Tamandua tetradactyla: one gene and its partners. The protein of the gene in region 1 purifies or fractionates together with the protein of each later gene. This does not show direct contact. Links are inferred from orthologs where the notes say so. Each region holds a gene or a part of one and is shown in the gene's direction. Other genes may lie near its edges.

Evidence for each region.
Region 2: the proteins of SOD1 (region 1) and PRDX2 fractionate together in Homo sapiens (co-fractionation; 3 studies listed by BioGRID, with this or other methods). This does not show direct contact. The link is inferred for Tamandua tetradactyla from reciprocal best matches to the Homo sapiens genes SOD1 and PRDX2.
Region 3: the proteins of SOD1 (region 1) and HEXB purify together in Homo sapiens (affinity purification with mass spectrometry; 3 studies listed by BioGRID and IntAct, with this or other methods). This does not show direct contact. The link is inferred for Tamandua tetradactyla from reciprocal best matches to the Homo sapiens genes SOD1 and HEXB.

Annotation. Positions count from the first base shown.
Region 1 is NC_135336.1:91,659,582-91,667,318, forward strand, and holds the start of SOD1 (superoxide dismutase [Cu-Zn]), read left to right. Parts: upstream 1-4,584; 5' UTR 4,585-4,666; coding exon 4,667-4,738; intron 4,739-7,737. UniProt on the Homo sapiens protein: Destroys radicals which are normally produced within the cells and which are toxic to biological systems.
Region 2 is NC_135337.1:89,828,692-89,836,331, forward strand, and holds PRDX2 (peroxiredoxin-2), read left to right. Parts: upstream 1-4,075; 5' UTR 4,076-4,207; intron 4,208-4,686; 5' UTR 4,687-4,695; coding exon 4,696-4,798; intron 4,799-4,885; coding exon 4,886-5,039; intron 5,040-5,630; coding exon 5,631-5,753; intron 5,754-5,903; coding exon 5,904-6,034; intron 6,035-6,598; coding exon 6,599-6,684; 3' UTR 6,685-6,898; downstream 6,899-7,640. Other genes in the region: ribonuclease H2 subunit A, read right to left, coding at 598-685, 810-936, 1,067-1,138, 1,344-1,470.
Region 3 is NC_135347.1:57,696,980-57,705,046, reverse strand, and holds the start of HEXB (beta-hexosaminidase subunit beta), read left to right. Parts: upstream 1-4,502; 5' UTR 4,503-4,599; coding exon 4,600-4,853; intron 4,854-7,884; coding exon 7,885-8,030; intron 8,031-8,067. UniProt on the Homo sapiens protein: Hydrolyzes the non-reducing end N-acetyl-D-hexosamine and/or sulfated N-acetyl-D-hexosamine of glycoconjugates, such as the oligosaccharide moieties from proteins and neutral glycolipids, or from certain mucopolysaccharides.

The DNA of each region.
Region 1 (7,737 bases):
TCTGGAGAGTTACTCTAGTGCATGGAACTTTTGTAGAATCTTCTATAACACCCTGGGTGTTCTTTAGGATTGGCAGGAATGCCACTGCAACCTGCCCAGCTGCCTCTGATCTATAACTAATATTCAGAGAGAATTATTTGAGATGAGACAGTGGCCAGAGGTGCCCAGAGCTGGGGCTGGTTAGGCTCCAGTTACTGGATAGTTGTTCGTTTTATTACAGAATGAAGAGTATAAGTACTGCTGAACAGACAGTATACCATATATAGCCAGGATTATTAAGTATACAACTAATTCTCAACTACAGTTTACAAGCCTCTAATCCCAGGCTAGTCACCCTTGCCCACTGATGGGCTACTTTTTACTCTCCAACTTCTCAAAGTTTCCCTCTCCTTCTTTCAAAAAGTTCACAATTTGGTAATGACAGCTTTGTCATTTACTTAGATTATTCAGACATGTAGAAGGAGCTAATGCCACTTTTACAATGTTTTCAATTTGTTTCCTAGTTACTAGTGTTTATTTCTTAATATAAAGAGTAAATCTCTTTCCTTGTACGTCACTTCTTTTGTATTTCGCTTAGTTCTGCCATTTTCCTACCATTCATATGAAAAATACAATATTTTGGAGAACTTTGAAGCAAGGGCCTTGGTGACAATCCCTTTGTGATGTGTGATATGAAGATTAACAGATAACTATATATTTACAGAGAATGATGACCACATAAAAAGGAAATCGCCTTGGGCCCCAGAAGAAAAAGATGATTTAGGAAAGAGGAAGGTGAGATAAAGGGAAGAGAGAAGAACGAGGGATAAGAAAGTAAGAGGAAGAAGAGAGAAAAGAATGGAAATGCAAGACCGAACTTGCTGTCCACCTTCTAACTCACTCCTTAGCCCCAGGAGTCCCTGAACACGAGTTTTTCATTCTCAGGAATGTCAATATGACCTATTGTAAACTGCTTAGTCATCAGCACATGCCACCATCTGATCCGAGCCACCATACCTCATCATCCCTGCAAAATCAGAACGTCTCTCTGGATTGTCATCCTTTGACCATCAGATTCAAATCAACTTCCAGTGCTCAAGCCACTTAAGCTACTGTAGGGTTCTCTCAACTTCTTGGATATTATGACTCTCAAAGGGACCAGACAGGCACAAGAGGGAATTTTCAAGATTGCATGTCTGAGTCATCAGGGTATACCCCAATCTGGAACACATGGACTCCGAGTCAAGATTTTGGGACAAGTGCACCTCCAAACCATAGCATCATGGACTCTTATAGTTGGAATGAACAGACCTGCCCTAACACTTGCAGGGTGGGGCAAGAATAAAAATTGAGGCTCTCATAAAGTAGGCTAAACATTTAAATGCTATAGAACAAGATAACATAGTTAAATGTAAGGTGTTCTAGTCTCTCACTCTGACAAATAAACATTCATGAAGACCTGGAAGACAGGTTCAAATGTGGAATTTTGGAAGACTTTGAGTTCTGTCCAAGAAAAGTGGTCATCAAGTAGGCACTGGGCCCTGACCCTGGCCTTTACTTCTTCTTTCCCACTGCTGACTCCATTCTGCACTGAGAGGGGCTGGTAGTTTATACAGCTTAGGTTTATACACGCTAAGTGCACAGTCCTTTGTCTGCCTGTCCAGGCCTTGGAAACCCGCACAGGGCTGTCTAGGCAGGGAAATTCAGGGGCTGCAGTGGTTCTCAATTGGGGGCCATTTTGCCTCCCAGGGACACCTGGCAATGTTTAGAGATGTTTTTGGTTGTCACACTGGAGGGAGCGGTGCTACTGGCATCTTGTAGGTAGAGGCCAGATATGCTGCTAACTCTCCTATAATGCATAGGATAGCCCCCCGCCCCCATAACAGAGAATTATCCAGCCTCAAATGTGAAACCTCTCATTAGGAAGACACAGATACCTGATTTAAATTTTGCTTAATCTTGTTCTAAAAAAAGGGGGTGCAGGGCTCTGGGTGGAGTACCTTCTTGGATCCATAGACTCTTCTCCCCACAGGGCATGTGGCCTGAGAACGGCCAGAGCAGGGCCCTCTGAGCACAGGGCCCAGGGCTGGGGAGTCCCTTGCCCAGGTGAAAAGGCGGTACTAGGAACAAACCTCAGATATTCTCTAATCCTGCCGGACCCCCAACAAGGGGCTGTGCAGGCTTCATCTGAATCTCAAAGGAGGAACAATTCTATCCCAGGGTAGCTCTTTGGAGGCATGGCTGCTTCCTTGGCAAGCTCTTGCAATGAACTGCAACCTGCTTGACAAGAGTTTTAGTTGCTAATCCTGCCAGAAATGCAATATATCAGAAATGGGTTGGTTTTATTTTGGGGGGAGGTGGTGGTGGTGGTAAATGGTCCAGGAATCGAACCCAGGTCTCCTGCATGGAAGATGAGCATTCTACTACTGAACCACACATGCACCCTGGATTGGTTTGTTTGTTTGCTTTTTTAACTTTTTAAATTGTATAATATATACAAAGCAAAGAAATAAAAAAGCAATAGTTTTCAAAGCACTCTTCAACAAGTAGTTACAGGACAGATCCCAGAGTCTGTCATGGGCCACCATACAATCCTCTCATATTTTTCCTGGGTTGGTTTTTAAAAAGGGAATTTATTAAGTTACAAGTTTACAATTCTAAGGCACTAAAAATGCCCAAACTAAAGTATCCAGAGAAAAATACCTTGACTCAAGGAAGGCTGATCTGGGGAGGCATGTGGCTGGCATCTGCTGGTCCTTTGGCTTCTGGTCTCAAACAGCTTCCCTGGTGTCATTTTCTTTCTGCATCTCCGAACATCTCTATGTCAATTCTGAAGCTTCTTCCAAAGTGTTTCCTTCTTAAAAGACTCCAGTAAGTGACACATCTTGAATGAGTAGAGACATCTCCATGGAAACCACCTAATCAAAAAGTCCCACCCACAATTGCGTGAGTCGCATCTCCATGGAAACAACTTAATCAAAAAGATCCCACTCAACAATATTGAATCAAGATTTTAAAAAACTGCTTTTCTGGAGTACACAGCAGTTTAAAACCAGCACAGTTAGTTTCCTGGAACACAAAGAAACTTTGGCCCTGAGTAAAGGCCCTTTGGCCAGGATTTGCAGGTTTATGCAACAGTGTAGCATATGCCAATTGTCTGCAGAATATCAGTAGGCACTGAAAAGCAAAATTAGAATGTGTGCACTTTCTAGAAGATGATTAAAAAAATGTGGAAAGTGAATCCCCAATACTGAATGCATGGGAGCCCAAAGGACTCCAAGATAAGTAGATAATACCCATTTACTTATTTTGGAGCAGCCTCTATTCTTGTTTCACATTGGGTTTGTATTATGACTCAGTATTTTGCATCCTCAAAATGAAATCCTCTCCACCAATCATTAGGGGGAAATGTAGGTTGTACTGAAGAAATTACAGAGAGATGGGGAGAGGATTTAAGTCATAAACAGCAAACAGAAATCTCCAGAAGGCATAGCTTTTCTCTCTTAAGTCTCTTCCTTGTTGGCCCCTACTGGGTTCTCCTTGTCTCTGGATCTTTCCTTTCAGGACACCTTCCTCATTTCCTCTTTTGAGTCAGGTAATTCTAGCTTTTCCCCCAAATCTACACGTCCTCTGGGAATCATAGGGTAGGTACTCTTTCCTTCACTTCTTAGTTTATCAAAGTATTTAGCCAACAAAAATGTGTGCCTATGTTTGGAGAATCCTTACTCTAAGAAAACAAACTCTATTGTTATGTACAACTACACTTTCATTGTAACACATTTTCTAAAAGAACAGCTTTAGTAAAAGTGCCCAGTCTCTTATCTATCCTTCTAGACATTTCTATGCACACAAGTAAATATGTTTCTACTTTAATTTTGACACAAAAAACTGGCTTTGACTATTTCATATTATGCTTTTGAAATATTTTAATTTAAGGATAAGAAACATTCTTTAAATACAGGTATCACAGTTATGTAACCCTTCGTGCATTTTCCTTGGGTATTGCGACAGTGGAGCCGGAGAAGCAGGAGAGGTACATAAAAATTGATCAGTTGTGGCCTTGTCAGACAAGAAAAAGAGGAAAAAAAAAACCAACGCAGAATTCTGTCTTATCAAGTTAAATAACACTGTGTACTAACAAAACTACAGGAAGGAAAGGCCAGGGATTGAGACGCGCCGAGTTCATCACCAATCAAAAAACCAAGCAGAAAATGAAAATCACAAAAAACACAGAACTTGATGCGTCCCAAATTCTAAATAACAAATGAGGCAGTGTTACGTCAAAAGTCAGTTGTACCTAAGGGCACGCCTAGACAAAGTGGCTTCAAATCTTCCAGACGTCCAGAAAACAGACCTCATTTTCTCAGTTTCACGTACTGCAATCCACGGATTACACCGTTTGGAAGAAAACGCTGTTTTTTTCCACGGTTTCAGATTTCTGGACGTTGCACCGCAGCACCGTGGAGGGAGCCAGCGGCCCCTCGGTCCCTCGGCCCCGCCCCCCCCGCCCATTCCGACCAGTTACAACCCGAGGTCCCGCCGGGGGCGGGCGGCGATTGGTTCCGGGCCAGTGTGGGCGTGGCCCGAGGATTCGGCCTATAAAAGGGCCGCCACGCGTCCCTCTCGCTTTGCGCCGGCGTTTTCCGCAGCTTCTCTTCCTGCTGAGTGTCGGGCCTTGCCGGGAGTCATGGTGACCAAGGCCGTGTGCGTGCTGAAGGGCGACGGCCCCGTGCAGGGCACCATCGAGTTCAAGCAGGAGGCAAGGGCAGGCGCCGGGGCCCGCGCGGCGAGGCCAGTCCGCGCACCTGGGCCGCGAGCGGGCGTCCGGCACGGGGGTGCGGGCCGCTCTCGCCACGCCCCCGCCGCGCTCCGGTCTCGGCCCCCGGCCGCGAGCGCTCCCCGCTAACACCCGCGCGCGGCCGCCAAGTGCTGAGTCACCGGGCGGGCCTGGGCGGCGGCGGTGCGTGACCGGCGCGGCCGCGGAGCTGGGCTGGGCCTGAGGGTGGGGTGGGGGTGGGATCCCCGGCCTGCCCCGCCGCGGGCCCGGGAGGGAGGACGCCCACGCCTCTGGGTGGTTATACAGGCTGGGCGGAAGGCTGGACCGCTTTGAAGGGGCTGAGGCCTTTCCTCGGGTGGGCACTTGCCTGGTCTTGAGTATCCCGCGCGCTCCGGGTGGCGCAGTCCGAGGCCCGAGGCCCGGGGCCCCGAGGCGAGAGCTTCCCCCAGGCCGCGCGGGCCTGGCCCGGGCAGACCGGTGGGATCCGGAGGTGGCCGGGCCGGCGTAGGTGCTTTCCCCCTCCAGTTATGCTTTCGGGCTGCGCTTTCAACTTCATGACCCTAGGTCAGGGCTGCGCAGACTACGGGCATATGCGATGCCGCGGCGCGTTTTTGTACAGCCCTCGAGCCAAAGGACGGCTCGTATATCTTGAAAGGACTATGAAAAGTAAGAATATACGGCAGAGACCGTTTGTGGCCCTCCAAAGAGTAGTTTACTGACCCTTAGGCTGGCTCATGGTCAGGCAATGCAGAAGAGCGATTTACGCCTCCAAATTTGACTCAGTTAACTTATTTTTTTCCTTCCCCAAAGCAGTGATTCTCAACCCTAGGTGCACTGTAGATTCATTTGGGGGCGCTTTTGAAAAAGAACTACAGACACTGGGGCCCACGCCTGGAGGGTTATGTAAGAATCTCTCTGAGTGAGGCCTGAGCACCGCTTTTTAAAAAAAGTTGTCAAGTCGATTCTAATGTGCAGCCAGGTAGAGGGTAGTGGGTGGGATTTTGAGATTTGGAAATTAGGGAGACCTTGGGCATTTCAATTGCGTTGAGTTTTCACTTAAAACTCAGGTTTTGGAGATCTTTAACCAAATCCTCTGTAAAATGACTTCAGAACTGCTCTATCGGTAGGCAGCTGGCTGAGATCATAAAAGACCATTTTTCTGAGCAAGTCTTGTAAATAGTAAGAAGTAATATCACTACTAGTGGAAAACACCTGTCTTGCAAGCTTAATAATCATTGGAGTATTTTTAATATGTCAGTGAGATTTAGTCTTAAAAGTGATTTAAAGTGAGTTACAGATGTGATTGGGCAGGAGTGGTAATCTAGGTAGGTGCCCAATCTGTGATTTGGTGCGAGAAAGAATTTACATCAATTGCAATGTTTTCCCCCCCTTTAAGTGGTTCCTAATTTTCTGGAAAAGGCTAGTGAACGTTTGACTGCATTTTACTGTATTTTCATCTGTCCAACTTTGTTTTACTCCTTTTTGTTCCTCTTCACATAACTCACTAACAATAAAGAATCAGAAGCCTCTGAGGGACTCCTCTGGCCTTTGGGAAATGACTCTTACCTAGAGGCACGGAAGGCTGGCCCTGAATCCATATATGTGAACCCTGGAAAGCCTTTTCCTGAGTGTCTTGCAGGTTTTTTTTTAAGTGCCATACTGCATTTTGGTGGTGCCCTTTGTACTTGGTAAAGGTCATTGGAGAGTTGAGCAGTACAACTGTACTGCTATCTGTAGATAACGCAGAGGTAATAGATTGGCTATAAACTGTATTTGGTTTGGCCTTTTCGGTTTTTGAAGTTTTGGATTAGTTCCCAGCTTTTAAAAATGAGAAATTTTCATCCGAGAGCTCAGATTCCTAGCTTTTCTTGAAAAAATTGGACATCTGCCCACACTGAGTCTTCATTTGCCCAGGGTAATACTCCTAAGCAGTTTTTTGCATCCCTTTTTGCTTCCCTGGTCTGTTTTTCTCATTCTAGATGGTGCTGGTACAGCTTAGTGTTGAAGAAAACAGCTTATGTATGCTGTATGTAGTGCCCTTTAAAGGAGGTTTGAAAGACCTTGCCCTTCAAAATACAGTCTTTGAGGGCTCTTGAGAACACATCGCCTTTCGGGGGACGAAATTCATATTTGCATTTTTCTAAACTTAAAGGTTGTACTTCAGAAGAATTATAGACTGTATTCTGCAAAGAAAAGAAAAAAGGTAGCAGTTGCCAACATACTTACTTGGAGCTGTGGAATTTATCCAGTGGAAAGCCAAATTTTAGGACCAGTGACACCTTTGTAATTGCTGGCCCTGGCCATTTAAAAACAAACCAAGCTAAAAACAAAGACATCAACATGTGTATTACTGTATTTTGTGGATGCTGTGTTTTATTATTATTAAGGTCTCCTTGTGGCTGCCAGAGTAACTTCCCTGGTACCTGAATGTAGCCATGCTGTGATGCCTTTGCCTGCATGGCGTGAGTTCTTTGTTTTTACGACTGCTTGAGTGTTTTTATTGTCCTTTCTTTTGAGACTCAGTAGTTAGATTGGAACAGTTATCTCGTTTTCAGTGCCCGAACCAGTACATAGGATTAAACTCATATGGTTAAACTGAGAGGAATGGTTGTACTCATTCCTCCCAGGCAGTAGGATAGGATATATTCTGGCTACTAATAAAAAATCTAGAATGTACAGTAAGTGGAGAGTGGTACAGGGCTCCTAAGGCAGCCAGTTGCCCATTGTCTGGGTGACATTTTTTTCTTTTTTCTTAAGGCAAATCTTTATGTTTGTGATGCAGAACAGTGTCTGATGGAGAAAGAACAGGGTGCTGAAAAGTGTATGATGTGCTGATGTTTGGGTTAAAATGTTTGATGTGTACACGTGCATGCACCATGTTCAAAATGACCTATCCACACGCATTTACAAAATAAGTCTAAATTCGTATTATGTGTCTACTGTAAGAGAGTCAAACCCTTCAAAGTATATACATCTAACAT
Region 2 (7,640 bases), on another chromosome or scaffold:
CACTGTCCCAGCCTCAAGTACTTCTCCTTGTAATTCTCTCCAAACAGCCCCTTCACCTCAGGGCACTCAATGCAAGGAATCTGTTTTCCTCTGGTCACTCAATCCTCACCTTTCCCACTTAAATTGTGAGTTTTCCAAATTTAATTTCCACTATTATTAGGAAATGTTGAAATTTACATATTACAGAGATGACTGCGTCTGCTGGGTGGGGCTCAGACCAAAGGGAAGTAACACTGGTGGTAGAGGGGCCATGGAGGAGGCCAGGACAGGCATCCCAGCAAGGGGGAAGTCCTGAGCGAGGACAGAGGCTGAGGACAAGTAGGCAGAGATGAGATTTGTTCTGGACACTGAGCATTTAGGATTGGAGGGTAGGTTAGATGGGAGAGTGAGGGGCTGGGGGCTCCAAGGTAGTTCTCAGTGAAGCCTGCAGTTTGGAGCAGGGACAGGAGAGGATGTCAACAGCAAACATTCAGACATTCATGAGGCACTTGTAATGCATCTAATGCTCAATCTGCGTTTTTTACCCCCATTTTATCCTGAGGTGGGAGCAATCCAGGTATCAGAGTAGTTCTGATTGATACCTGTCAGCAGATTCACCTGGGAGACTTTCACACCCTGGTCCAAGGCGTACTGCACCAGCCCGGCGGCTGCATCGTGGGACAGGGAGTTCAGGTTGTACTTGACCCTGAGGTAGGGGACACAGCCTGGTTAACCCCTTTCCAGCCAAAGGGCCCAGTGAGCAAGTGCTCTCTGCCTCCCTCAGGGCGTTGGCTGCCCCTCCATCCCGCCCCTCCCAGGGGACCCCTCACCGCCCGAGCATGCTGGTAGAGATGAGGTTTGGAGACAGTACATCCAGTGCCCAGCCCACAAAGTCCCCGTCCTCCTCTATTTTCGCAAACAGCCTGTCCCGCTCGCTCTCCGACAGGGTCTTTGAGTCTGGGAGGAGGATTGGGAGAGAAGGAGGGCGCTGGTTCTCCAGGTTCCTGCCCTCTTCCTCCTCCTCCTCCACCAGTTTCCACACGCCCCGGAACCGCCCGATCCCCGCCCCCCACCACCCCAGACTCACCTGCCACTTTCAGGGCCTCCAGATCTGCCAGACGGGACACGGGGCAATAACAGATGGCGTAGACCATGGGGCCTGGAGAGGAAGGGGGTCAGATTTCTGGGCGAATCCAAGCAGTGAGCTCCTCAAAGCGCTCATCCCTGTTCCATCACCGCTCTTTTCGCCCACCGGTTCATGTCACGGCCGCCATCATCATCGCCATCACCGGCCCTCCTGGGTCATGGGCGAAGCGCACCCCATTATCGCGCCCCTCCCCCACCCCCGGGCCCCGGGGGCGCACCCAGCACGGGGCCCCGGCCTGCTTCATCGACGCCCAGGGCGCAGGGCTCCTTGCGGCACACTGCGGGCACCGGCGAGCTCACGCGACAGCGGCCCGTATTGTCTCTCTCCAGCTCACTGAGATCCATACCGCCGCCGCCTGGGCCACAGCCTCCAGCGGCGGGAAGAGGGCGTGTCCGCGCAGCTCTCGGCGCTCTTCTGGCGCGCTCGCTCCCGACCAATCAGCGCGCAGGACACGCCCCCGACGCCGTCCAGCAGACGCCGTCGCCGCCACGTGGCTTCCTGGGAATTGTAGTTTCTGAGGCCGACCGCGGAACACTCAGGTTGAGACGCGGGATGGGCGGGGCCACTTTCCAAGCCCCGCCCCGGGGACTCCGAAGCCCGGACGGCGGGGTCTGGTGCCAGGAGAAGGAAACTGAGGCGGGGACATGAAAAGACCCGGCCCTTTCGGAGCCTACAAGACCAGATACCACTAGCTTCCAGAACAAAGGGTCACTCCACATTCACTGTGTTCCTGTCTCCTACCTGGACTCCGGGTCCCTGACGCCCCGCCCTCGGCCCAGCCCAAGCCCCCTGGACTAGGTATCGCTGCCCCTTCCTGGGCTCAGGCCTTCGAATTGTGGCCCTTACCCTTCCTCTCTCAGTCGCTCACTCGGATCCACCCTCCTCCCCCACAGTCCCTGCCCCCCTACCCTCTCGTTTGGGCTAAGCCTCCCGGACCCCCAAATTAGGATCCCAGACCCCAATTACCAATCCTGGCTCAAGGTCGACGCCCGCCTGCTGCAGGCTGATAACCCCAAATCGGGTTTCTCCTTCACCCCCCGCGTCTCAGCGGGGCTCAGAGCCTTGGACCCTAGGCCACCGCCCCTGAACCTCAGGGTCCTGGTTCCCCCGTCCTCGCCCCCATTGACTGTCTTCCCTTCTCCCCAGGTGTCAGTGGGGTGCACGCCTTCTGTCTGTGGATCCCCAATCCTCACCCCTGAACCTAATGCCCCTGGACTTGACAGTCCCCTCCTGGCCTGTCCTCTCCACGCCCTTCTCTCACCCGGCCTCAGGGCCTCCAATGGCACTGGTCCTGCTGGCAAGATGGACAGTCCCGTTGCCGGCAAGGCCGCACCTGCACCAGGTTCTCTCGGTCCATGAACACTGGGCCTGGCGCCGTGCCCACCACCTCCCGGCTGCGCTCCTGCTTCCCCAGGTCGCAGACACAGCGCCACTTTCCCCACGGGCTCAGGATCGAGTCTTCCAGGTCTGGGGGAAAGGGCCGAGAAAAAGACCCAGGTTTGTGTTTGGGGGTGGGGCGGGGGGGGGGAGGACCTACCTGCCTCTACCCTCCTCTGGGGCGGAGGCAAAAAAGATACTAACAAATAACCCCAGCTCATATCTGTTCCTGGGGCTCTGCCTCTGACCAGTTCCTCTCAATCTTCCCAGCAATCCTGATGGAGAGGGATGGCCACTAGTCCCAGGTGGGGAAACTGAGACCTAGAGAGGGCAAGTCACCCTTCTGAGCTCACCCATCTGCTGAGCGGCCCAGGGGGACTGCAAACTGACACTTCCGACCTGTGCCAGCTTGCCCCGTTGGGAGTGTGGTAGAAGACCCTCAGTGCTGGCTATTGGGACACCTGTCCAGCAGGCACCATGCCACCAGACCAGCAGGGCTGTCAGATGGTAAATTAAATGACATAATCAAATGACAGAATGAGGATACTTAAAGCCTCTGGCGCTGTTCTAGCACACAGAACAAAAACAATTATGATTCTTTTAAAGCAGCTGCCACTTCTTATGGACTTACCAGATAGAAACCTGTCACCAGTCTTAAACCCACGGCCTGCTCACAGGGCCTTGACACCTCATTTGTTCCCTACCATCTCTTCTTCTCTAGGTCTCTGCCACCCTAGCCCTTTTCCTTTCCCTGCCCTCTTTTGGGCCTTTTGGCTTTTGCATTTTTGGGTCCCTCTCCCTGGCATACCATTCTTTCCCCACTCACCCTCCCAAGGCATCTTTGCATCTTTGGCCTTGGCTTCATAATGGATTTCTATCTCCTCCACCGGGACCTCTTCTGACTTTTCAAGCTGATCTCCAGCTTCTTTCTCCATCCCCGCCCTCCTAGCTCTTTTACCCACAACAAATTCACGTGCATCTGCTTTTATTGCCGGCCCACGCCCCCTCTCCAGCTATGAGCCGCTTAAAAGGCAATCTCCTTTCCAATTGACAGATGGAAAAACAGCCTCAGAGAGAAGTAACCAGCCCAATCAGACGCAACCAGTGTGGTGAGCCCAGCCGGGATCTGCCGTCCCGGGGAAAGCAGGGGTGAGGGGGGCACCTCTAGGCGCCCTCACCCCGGCCGCCCTGCGGTTACCTTTTTCCTGCTGCTGCTGCCGCAGCTGCTCCCAGATGTCGCCTTCGCCTTGCTCGCCAAAGTACTGGTAGTCCGGGGAGCCCTCGGAGGGGGTTGCCAGCAGCTGGAGCGCCAGGGGCAGCAGTAGCAGCAGCAGCGCCGCCCGCCTTCGGGCCATGCCGAGCTCCAACCGCCCGCGGCGCGCTCGGGGCTGGAGCCCCGCGCCGTGCCCGCGCTACCCCCGCGGATCCGCACAGTGGTCGGGCCCGGAGGCTGCATGTCTCCCCTCCACCACCACCACCACCCCCTGCCGCTCGCGGGCATATGGACCCGGCCACCCGCTCGCTCTCCACCCCCCACCGAAACCGGCGCAGTGGACGCGGCGGCTCAGCTCATCTTCACCCCCCCCGCGCGCGTCATGGTTCCGGCCGGGCATAAAAGGCCTGGCAGCCCTGCGCGCACTTGGGGCTGAGAAATCCGAGGCCGCGCTTCTGCTGCGTCCGTGCGTCCCGCCCGTGTCCACGCAGGTACCGCCACCCCGGGTGCACCGGGCTCGGGAAGGAGCCCCTTCCCAGCCGCCCCCGCCGGAATCCGGACCGATCGCTGGCCGCCCTTTGTTTTCCGCCCTCTGCAGCGGCCGCCTTTGTCCTTGCAGGGGAAACCGAGGCCGGGCGGCCGGAGTCCCCGCCCCCTGCTCGCGGGGGCCCTTGCCGTCTCCTCCCGGCACTGGGTGGGGACCCCGCAGCCACCGCGCTCCCTCCGACGCGCGAACTGGGGACCCGGCGGTAGCGGCCAGGCCGCACGTGCCGCGGTCAAGGGGGCCGGGTCCCCAGCAGCCTCGGGGCCGCGCAATACCCGGTACCGGGGAGGGAGGGGGTCACCGCTGCCGGCTGCGCCGCTCTCGCTCGGTCTCCGCGGTCCGCACGCAGTGTGACCTTGGGAAAGGAGGACAAAGGGGCCTCCGGGGCGCGCTGACCCGGCTGGGGGTGGGGCGTGGGGGTCTCAGCTTTCAGCCATGGCCTCCGGCCACGCGCACATCGGGAAGCCCGCCCCGGATTTCCACGCCACGGCCGTGGTGGACGGCGCCTTCCAGGAGGTGAAGCTTTCGGACTACAGAGGTGAGGGACCCCAGGTGCGGGTGGGGCCCGGGCAGAAGGAGGCCTGGGCCTTAACGCGCGACCTCTCCACTCCCACCCCCAACCCAGGGAAGTACGTGGTCCTTTTCTTCTACCCCTTGGACTTCACCTTCGTTTGTCCCACCGAAATCATCGCTTTCAGCGAGCGTGCCGGGGACTTCCGCAAGCTGGGCTGCGAGGTGCTAGGAGCCTCTGTCGATTCCCAGTTCACCCACCTAGCTTGGTAGGAGCCGGGACTGGGGGGAGGGGGAGGGTGGGGCGCAACTAGGTTCCCATCCTAGCGTCGTCCGTGCTGGCCTCGCCGTTGCTCAACCTCTTACCCTCCCTTTCACCACCTTGAGAATCACGGAAATTATTTCCATGGAAAACACCCTGGTCATTAAGGATTGCTGACAGCAATGAGCATGTGGAAACGAGCTGCTTGGCTTGGGAGTTGCACATGCTTTTTTTCCCTATAGTCCCTGGGAGGAAGGCGGGATTGCCTTAGTACTTGAAGGTGGAAAGTCCAGTTCCAGGAAGGGAAGGAGGATGGAGATGTGATGGCAGGATCCCTGCCTCAGGCTGGAGGCCATGAGGATGCCTAAAGAGGATTTGCTGGAGCATAAGCCTGCACATGAGTGCAGGGGCTTTAGTCTTCCCAGCTGTGGGAAACAGCTCCTGCACCCAGTTCAGGGTGGGGTGGGTGGTACTCCCAGGGCCCCAATATCTCCTGCCTCCAGCATCCCACTCCAGCCCTTATCACCCAGGCGCAAAGGGTAAGGATCTCACTGTGTGGGACCTCCTGAGGCCCCAGCCCTGTCTCCCCCACCCCCAGGATCAACACCCCGCGGAAAGAGGGAGGCTTGGGCCCGCTGAACATCCCCCTGCTGGCTGACGTGACCAGAAGCCTGTCCCATGATTATGGGGTGTTGAAGGAAGATGAGGGCATTGCTTACAGGTACTGAGGGACCCTCCCCCACCCTCAGGGAGCCCCCTTCCCATTTCCCCTCTATCCCCAGCTCTGTGGCTGGAGGTGGTCCATGCTCCCTCCAGCTCCTGGCCACAGGGAGTGTCCCAGCTCCTCACTACTGAACCCTGATGTCTTCAGGGGCCTGTTTATCATCGATGGCAAGGGAATCCTTCGTCAGATCACAGTGAATGACTTGCCCGTGGGACGCTCCGTGGAAGAGGCCCTACGCCTAGTCCAGGCCTTCCAGTACACGGATGAGCATGGCGAAGGTGAGTGGACACACAGAGAGCCTCTCAGTGGCTCTTGCAAACAATCACTGCCTGCCCTATCACCTGAGCAGGGGTAGGGGCATGTTAGGGCCCCCAAAGAAGGTTCAGCTCAAGGAGTTTCTAGTCTGGTGGAGGAGATGCCTCCTTGTAAGGGTGCGCAGCTGGGAGGTCATAGGGAACCATAGAAGGTATTCGAGGTTGCATATAGCACATTAGGCTTGGGGTATGTTAGTTGGATCCTGGTTAAAGAGTCTGAATGTAGATGCTCAAGTCCAGTAGCACTGGGGCTGAGGGTGAGACATGGGGTTGAAAACACCAAAAAGCAAGTGAGAATAAGAGAAGGAAAATGATGAGGCAGAAGATACTGCAGCTGGGCCTGTGAGGATAAACAGGTGCTTGGAGGGTGATGGGATGGGGCTTCTCTTTTTGAGCCTGGACCAATTGGTTCTTAGGTTTTTCTACTGCAACTCAGGCCCTTGCTTTGTATCTGTTCCTCCCTCCCCCCTGCCTCTACCTGGAAAATGGGGCTGTAGGCTCACACATCAGTTCTCATGTCTTCCACAGTCTGTCCCGCGGGCTGGAAGCCGGGCAGCGACACAATCAAGCCCAACGTGGATGACAGCAAGGAATACTTCGCCAAGCACAACTAGGCCAGCAGGCGGGTGAAGCTTGGGCCCTCTGCCCTCAGCCACGCCGCTGCCTGGGTGCCCAGTGCTGACCCTAGGAAAGACCCCTGTAGCTTCCCGGTTTGGGGCCCCAAGGTTCTTCTGATGCCCCCACCTGGGACCTGAGAAATCCCCTCTGCCCAGATCCCACTCAGCTGGGCACAGGCTTGGGGGGAACCAATAAAGTGTTAGGGACAGATGTGAGTGTGTCTGGGTGTGTTAGTCTGTCTTCCCCTCCCCCTGCCCCACCCCCACCAAGTGGTGTCTCAGGCCTCCTGTCTGGGAAACTGATCCTGTAGTTATTTACCGCCACCACAAGGTGGCAGCCTTACTTCATGCTCCCTCTACTTGTTCTTCCTTGGCAGGAGGGGGGACTGGGGGAACTGGGGTGTTTGCCCCTTGCAGGGAGCAATCCCAGGCTGTGTGACATGCTGAATCCTGGCCAGGCAGGACAGAGCATGGCCTATCAGCCAGCCCGGGTTCAAATGCTGTTGAATAGCCACCACCTTCCCTGCATCCCAGTAAAATGGGGTCAAGACTAGCAGCCTGAGTTAAAGGAGGCAAAGTGTGCCAAGCCTAGGGTGGGGACCCTGGTCCAGACCTGGTTACTAGGTTAGTTACCGTGATGGCTGCCAGGGGCAGGCTGTAGCCCAGTCTTACAAGGAAGAGGACAGAGACCTCCTCCTGGAGGGTTGGGAAACCCACACAACCCCGGGGGGGGGGGGGGGGGGGCTCTGTCCCACCCCAGGCTTGGAAGGGGGCTGCCTGTCTGCTCCTGGGGTCAAACATCAAGGCTGGTGTCAGGGGCAGGGCAGTGTTCCAAATTACCATGCTGCTGTGCAGTTTGCTGTGTGTGTTCAGGCAAGTGACTTTGCCACTCTGGGCCCCGACTTGATTCTACCGAACAGGGCTGATAGTCTCGTTTTATCCACAGACCAATT
Region 3 (8,067 bases), on another chromosome or scaffold:
AAAAGGGGGAAGAGAGAGAAGTGAGACAAAATATAGTTCCAGTGGCTGACAGATTTCAAATGGGGTCAAGAAGTTATTCTGGAGGTAACTCTTAAGCCTTAAATAGATCTCCGTTTTTAGTTTATGGTGTATCAAGAGTGGCTAAAGGAAGTACCTGAAACTGTAGAGCTGTGTTCCAGTAGCCTTGATTCTTGAAGATGATTGTATAATGATATAGCTCTCACAATGTGACTGTGTGATTGTGAAGACCCTGTGTCTGATGCTCTTTTTATCCAGAGTGTAGACAGATGAGTAAAAAAAAAAGATGAAAAGTAAATAATGAGTAAATAAATAAATAATGGGGGGGTAAAGGATAAAAAAATTGGGTCGATTGAAATACTGGTAGTCAACGAGAAGGAGGGGTAAGGGGGATGGATCTGTAAGTTTTTTCTTTTTATTTTTTTATTTCTTTTCCTGAAGTGATGCAAATGTTCTAAAAATGATCATGGTGATGAACACACAACTAAATGATGATATTGTGAGCCACTGATTGTATACCATGTATGGATTGTCTGTGTATGAAGATTTTTTCGATAAAATATATTTTTTAAAAGTCACCTAGTAATTTAGTGTATTACTGTATCTTTTCATTTTGTGGCATCACAGTAGCTCCTGATTACTAAAATGCCCCGGGGTGGATGACACTTTTTTGTTAGCCTTTGGTACTTAGCCTGCCCCAACAAGTCAAATGAATACCAAAATGATATAAATTCTTTTTTTCCAAAATTGTATAAATTCTATTCATCAACAGAGGAAGGCGGAAGCAAAATGCTGGAGAGCAAGACAGCTCAAATTCCCACCAGGTGCTGCAGTTTACCAGATAACAAAATGAGAAAGTGGCTTCTAGGGCTAATCTTAGTAAAGCAGGGAAAAATGCTTGCCAGACCAAGTTTCACCACAAACCTTCTTTCCCTCGTGGAAGAGTCCACCTTAGCACCCCATGCCAAATGAAGCGCAATCCCAGTGTTCATGATTGCAGTGGCAATGCACAAATGCTTCAGGATTGCTTATCGATACCCCATGAGATCAGGAAAATGGAGCCAGAGGAAAGATGCACGTCCAGTGTCAGGGGCTCACCTCGCTCCCCGGGCTGTCCAGGACCCCTCAGGAGCGAGGTGCTTTGCCCACATGCTTGTGCAGGTCTGAGGCTGCAGTGGCTCAGGCGGTGTCAGTTCCAACCTCCTCCGAGTAAGTTTCCTACCCTGGAGACGTTGGAACCGACATTCCCCAGACCACCTCGCTGCTGTGGTTGGATGTTAAGTTTCTGCCAGTTACATGTAATTATGTGAGACTTGAAGACAGAAGTGAGTTCGCTGGAGAGAGAGACAGGGCAGGAGGGGTCCGCTTTGTTGGCACAGGCTGTGAAATGGTGTGACTCTAGAACTAGAACCCATAGCAGAGGATTTTCCAACAGCATGCAGCTTCCTGATCATGACAGAAGCAGTAGTTCCTGCAGTTTCAGCCAAGAGTTGAGTTCTTAGGTCTCACAAGGATTCTATGAGTCACTAGCTAGTCTGTAGTCAATTCCTGTCTGAGGAACCAGAGTGGATTTTATTCTCTGCACCTAAATCTTGAATGACTGAGAAGCTACTGACCCACAGTCTGCGCCTAAAATCTGATCACTCCCCTTAAGTCCCTCCTGCCGTCCTTACTCCCTGCGGCTAACTGGTCGACCACCGCTGTTGAACTACGTTGGTACATGTAAAAGTGCTCGGCCCAGGGAACAACAGGACCTGCTGTTCTCTTTCTCATCCCCATCTCGCTGGTGTCTTCTGGCACCCTGGCAGGTGAAGAAAGCTGCGTGAATTCAAGGAACTGAAAGGTCATGCACCTGAGGCAGGGTGATCAAGGGTAGAGCGCTGAGGTCAGTGACAGGAGCAGAGGTCAGATTCCGCCACGCCCTGTGGGCCATGGTGAGGATTAGGCATTTTTAATTACGGACAATGATAAATCTGATTCAAAGACTATTTAATGAAGCAATGTTAGAATAAAATGACTAAATGAGTCAAAAATTGGTTAGTGTCCTATAGGAACTCGACCCTACCCAAGAAACAACAACACAAGAAAACAAGCAAAAAAACAAAACAAAACTCTGCTTATAATGAATTCCCAGCTTAAATATTCATTTGTGACAGGCCTCTCTATATACTATTTAGAGAGAAAATAGCAGATCTAGAGCAATCAGAAACAATGTGGCTGAATCCATGGATTCAAATGTCATCAATTAGACTTTCTTCTCTCCTCATGTATCTCTATCTTTCCACTCAGTTTTTCTCAGCATTGACCTTATCCTCCTCCTTACGATAATGATGGTCAGTGGCAGCCTGGGTAGCAGGGACCCCTTTAAAGAAAGCACATGTCCCTCAGCCACCCATACCAGTCCTGATCAAGGATCCCAAAACAATCAAGGCTTGGTCTCAATCACCCCTATGGCAAAGCTGGTGAAGTCACATGACCAGCATGGAATGGAGACGCCAACATTCCCAAAGGGAGAAGAGGGTTTCTGTCACCAGAAGAAAGAGAAAGGATGTTGGACAAACCAAAACCATAGCTCTAATGATTTTGAAAATATCATACTAATTCATTAATTAATGAGTTGAGTAAAAACCTAGACACAGTTTCATTCTATTTCGTAATAGAATCAGATTATAAGTGTCCTTTAGGATTTTGTGGAGGATTTTTGCATCTATTGTCATAAGGGATATTGTCCATAGTTTTCTTTTCATGTGGTATCTTTATCTGGCTTTGGTTTTAGGGTGATGCTGGCCTCAAAGAATGAATTAGGAAGTGCTCCCTCTTCTTCAATTTTCTGGAAAATATTTAGCAGGATTGGTATTAATTCTTCCTGGAATGGTTGCTAAAATCCACCAGTGAAGGGTGGGCCATGGTGGCTCAGCAGGCAGAGTTCTCGCCTGCCATGCCAGAGACCCAGGGTCGATTCCGGGTGCCTGTCCATGCAAAAATAAATAAATAAATAAAAGCTCACCAATGAAGCCATCTGGTTCTGGACTTTTCTTTGTTGGGAGGTTTTGATTACTGATTCAATGTCTTTACTGGTTATTGGTTTGTTGAGATCTTCTATTTCTTCTTCAGTCAGTGTAGGTAGTTTGCATGTTCCTAGGAATTTTTCCATTTCATCTAGGTTCTCTAATTTGTTGACATACAGTAGTTCAAAGTATCCTCTTATAGGTGTTTATATTTCAGTGAGCTCAGCAGTAATGTTCTCCCCTTCATTTCTGATTTCAGTCACCAGCATCCTCTTCTTTTTCTTTGTCAGCTTAAGATTTTTCAATTTTATTGATCACTTGGAAGAACTAATTTAAACTTTTGTCATTTCTCTCTGTTTTCACCTCTTTATTTCATTTATCAGTGCACTAATCTTTACTGTTTCCTTCCTTCTGCTCATCTTGGATTTAGTTCGCTCTTCTCTCTCTAATTCCTCCAGGTGTGAGGTTAAGGTACTGACTTGTTCTTGTTTTTTAATGTAAGCATTTACAACTACAGATTTCTCTAAGTACTACCTTTGCTGTATCCCATAAGATGGTAGGCTGTGCTTTCATTCTCATTCATCTCAGGGTTACCCATTTTCTTGTGAGTGCTTCTTTGACCCACTGGTTGTCTGAGTGAATTGTTTAATTTCTACATATTTGTGAGTTTTCCTGTTCTCCCTTGTAAACGATTTCTAGCTTCATTCCTTTGTGGTCAGAGAAGATATATCGCATAATCAATATCTCAGTTTACTGAGACTTGTTTTGTGATCTGCATCACGTTTTAAACCTTCTTTGAAAATTATACTTTGACAATATTAACCCTTGTCACAAATGTATTTCTTCTTGGCATCATCTGCCTATTAACTTGGTCCTTGGTGTCTTTTTGAAGTTTTAAGCCGTCCTCTCCCCATCTCTGCCAAAATATTCTCTTCCGGGGTTTCTTCTGCATGATTTTTACCTTCTCACCTATTCAAAACTCCGCTTTGGGCATTATAAACCTTTGATGGGAAGGTTATATTAAAGCTGAAATGCTGTTACAGAAAAGGCTAGATGTAGGATTAAGTAACTTAAGTCACCACGTCAGTTATCTGGTATTTGTGGAGACTGGGATGGAACAGAGGGCCCCAAAGGCCTGGCTCCTGCGGGTTCGCTGCCCCAGGGCTCTGCGGGCAGTTGGGTGTCCCGGGTCACCGTGGGCTGGCGTCCCACGCTCTGCCCGCCGGGCTCCTCCCTTAAATGCCGGGCGTCGGTTTCCGCTTCAGGCGGGGGAGGCTCTACAGGCCACCCGCGGGCTTGGGCCTGCGGGTGCGGACCCGGGGCTGGTGGGGGGAGCGGGGGCGGGGCGGGGGCGGACCCGGGGCTGGGGGGCGGAGCTGAGCGGGGCGGGGGCGGACCCGGGGCTGGGGGGCGGAGCTGAGCGGGGCGGGGGCGGACCAGGGGCTGGGGGGAGCGGGCCGGGCGCGGTCACCTGACTCGGCGTCTCACGCGCGTCGGCGCCGCCTCCTCCCGGGCCGGGACGGACAAAGGTCCAGCGGCGACAGCTGGGCGGCCCGCGGAGAGCGCGGAGGCCATGGAGCAGCGAGCCCCGCGCCGCGCGCCCGCGCCCCTGCCGTCCCTGCCGCCCCGGCTGGCCCTGCCCGCCCTGCTGGCCCTGCTGCTGGCGCCCGCCCTGCGCGCCTCGGGGCCGGCGCTGTGGCCGCAGCCGCTGTCGGTGAAGCTGTCCCCGAGCGCTCTGCACCTCGCCCCCGAGCGCTTCCTCATCAGCCACGGCCCCGGGTCCACGGCCGGCCCCGCCTGCTCCATCCTGGAGGAAGCGTTTCGTCGGTGAGCCCAGGGGCGCTGGGGCGCGCCGGGGGGAGACGTGGCCACCCCGGGGCTGGGCGGGGAGCGCGCGGGCCGCCGGGTGGGTGTCCGATCCCCGTCCCCACCCGGGAAGCGGCCGCAGCGCCTCAGCCCTGGCCGGTCTCCGGGCAAGAAAACCGCGGAACTGCTTCCGGCCAAGGCTGGCCCTGCCCGGGGCGCGCTGGGGACGCCCGGGGCGCGCGCGGACCCTGGCCCGGGTAGGGAGCAGTGCAGAGGGAGCGGGGTGCGCAGCATCGTTGTCTCCCTGCTTGGGGGCACGGATGAGAAGGAGAGAGGAGCCCCCCAAGTGCTGGAGGAAGGGAGGAGCGCAGTGGCCGCAGCTCCCTTGAAGAAAGACAAATGCCTCCGAAGCTGTACACGCGCTCCTCCTTGAAGAAGCCACCCCCAGCGTCGGCGAGCGGGCATGTAGACACCCATCTCCCGCCCCTGCCCCCTCCCCAGAGGGTCCTTGGTGTCTTTTTGAAGTTTTAAGCCGTCCTCTCCCCATCTCTGCCAAAATATTCTCTTTCGGGGTTTCTTCTGCATGATTTTTAACTTCTCACCTATTCAAAACTCTGCCTTAGGTGTTATAAACCTTTGATGGGAAGGTTTTATTAAAGCTGAACTGCTGAACCCCAGAAGCTCTCCCAACAGCCCTGTGCGCGGGAACACCCCTTCCAGGGTGCCCCGGCAGACGCAGCGTCGGCCGTTTGGGTCCAGTCCCTTCTAGGACTGGGGCTCGGCTTCCGTGTGTCCGCCCCTCCTGCCGCCTCCTGTTTTCAAGACCCGGGAGGAAACCTTTAGTTCCTGAGCACGTCACGTTTACAGGGCCACCTCGCTCTCTCACCTCTTTGGCTGCAGACAGAACTGGTCGTCTGCTGGGAAACCGCTCCGGCTGTAACCTGGCCAGGCCCAGTGTGCGAGGCGGGTTGCCTCGGGAGAGAGATTTCAGCACGCAGTGCCGTCTCCCAGTGGAGCCCAGGCAGGCGGGAATGACCTGAAGGAACCCTGGAGGTGTGCTTTGGTGCTCGCTGTTCTGCCTCCTCCTGCCCGCGCATCTGCCTGTGTTCACAGTGGGTGGAAAATGCAAGGCTAGTGTAATAATATTTTCTAGTCCCTGGGCGTGTACCGGGCGGGCTTAGCCTGAAGAGCCCCGAGGTGTGGAGGGCACATTGTCCTCTCTTGTTTTCTACAACTGGAATGGCTGTTGTTGTCCCCAAATGCAAGACTCCAGTGAGGTCTTGATGTTGAATCTCCTAACAGGTTAAGATGCCTAGAGTTGGGGAGATAAAGTAAAACCAGAATGGTTGGTGGCCTTGGGATATTGAGAAGGATGTTATGGAAAAGTACTTGAAGGCCCTCTAAAGGAAGATCTTGGCTAGGCTTGGAACTCTTTTTACAAACAAACATATTTACTCTGTTTGCTTTGGGGCTCAGCTTTTTACATTGGATTTTCGTTCTGTGCTATACTGCCGGAAAAACAAATACTTGGTAATATGTTGAAATTGTGGAGTATGGCAAGAAAGCACAGTGACATAAATTAAACAATGGTTAGATAACCAGGGAGTTGAATCAGCTGGGAGGTGATGTTAAAACCACTGGCACGCCAGTGCCTATGCAGGTAATTACCTGGAGTTTGCCTCACTACACCTGACTGTGTAATTCATTGCCTGTGTGTAGGATGCTACTGATCGTGCCTGCATTGTTATGAAATTGATTATGAAAATAGTAGCCCTCATGGTTAAGACTTGAAAGCATTCAGGTGTGTCCTATAGGGCCCACACTCTGTCAATCTCAGAGTTAAAGCGTGGTGGGCTGGGGAGGATTTAGGAACATGGGGGTGTTCGGAAAGCTCTCGCCAGTGGGGACCCACAGGGTGGGCTCCAGACTGTTCAGTCTTGGGCCTGTTTTCTCTTTACAGCCCATTTTCCATCACAAACCTGGCTTTGAAACAGTACACTTTTGGTTACAGGCAAGTGCACAGCTACTTCCTCAGTTTCTAGAACAGAGCTTGGCACGTGCTGTCAGTCATTTTTAAAAAATGAATAGCCACACTTCCTCAGTTCCGGGAAGGGAACAGGTCTCATAGCTGCTTTAATGGCCTTAATTTCCTTCTTCATCTGTTAAGGTTTTCCTATGAGAAGGGGCCTCAGCACTTGCATCCGTTCCCCTCTCTCACTAAGGGCAACACACTGCCAGTCTCATTGGACCTTTCCTCCCTCTCCTACCTTCTCTTGGAAAATCACAGGACCCTCTTACACATGGGTAACATGTACAACCTTCTGGCTTATCAGAATATATAAACTTAAACAATTGCCTTGAAACCTCCTTGATCTTTTTATCCTTCAGCACCTTTACATTTTTATTTAATGTCTTCTTTCCCTGATATTTGTGTATGAACAGAAGGTGAATTTTAAAGGTCCTGTGAGGACCCTGTGGGTTGGTGATCTTTTTTCATCAGCTAGGATGCTTTTGGAAGCCCAAAGGTAGGAAATATTTTAGGGCCAGTTGATTAAGTGACTCATCATTGTCATCTGGATCCATGATTTTTTGTGCCTCTGCTTTGCTGTCCTCGGTGTGGCTACAGCTGGTCCCGGGCTCACATCCAAAGAAAGAAGAACCGTTTCTGTGGCTCTCTTGGAGAGGAAACTTCCCAGACCCCTCTCCTTCCCCCTTCCCTCCTCTCTGGGCAGAATCTGTCCGCCATGAGATCACCGTGATTGGTCTGGCTGCTGGTTCTGAGTCAGTCTCAGCAGTCACGGGGAAGTGTGGGAGCTTACTAACTTCCCCAGCCTGGGTCCCGTGCTCAGATTCTGATTCTAAGGTTTGGACATGAGTATTTTCAGAAAGCCTCTCAGTGATTCTAATGTACGGAACAGGTCGAGTCTCCAGTTGGTCTTATGGGAATCATAAGTTGATTATGGGAATCAACTACAAAGCTCCCTAAGACATATATGTTTAAATTTTATCTACTTTGCTTTAAAAAATTTGTTTAAATTTATTTCTCACACAGATATTATGAGTTTATTTTTGGTTTCTACAAATGGCATCATGGCCTTGCTGACATTCGTACTGGAACAGAGTTAAAGCAACTTCTTGTGACAGTTGTCCTTGATTCGGAGTGTCACGTTTTCCCCAGTATCTCTTCAGATGAGTCCTGTGAGTACCTCCTAACCGTGAGTGTAACCCTGAGTAG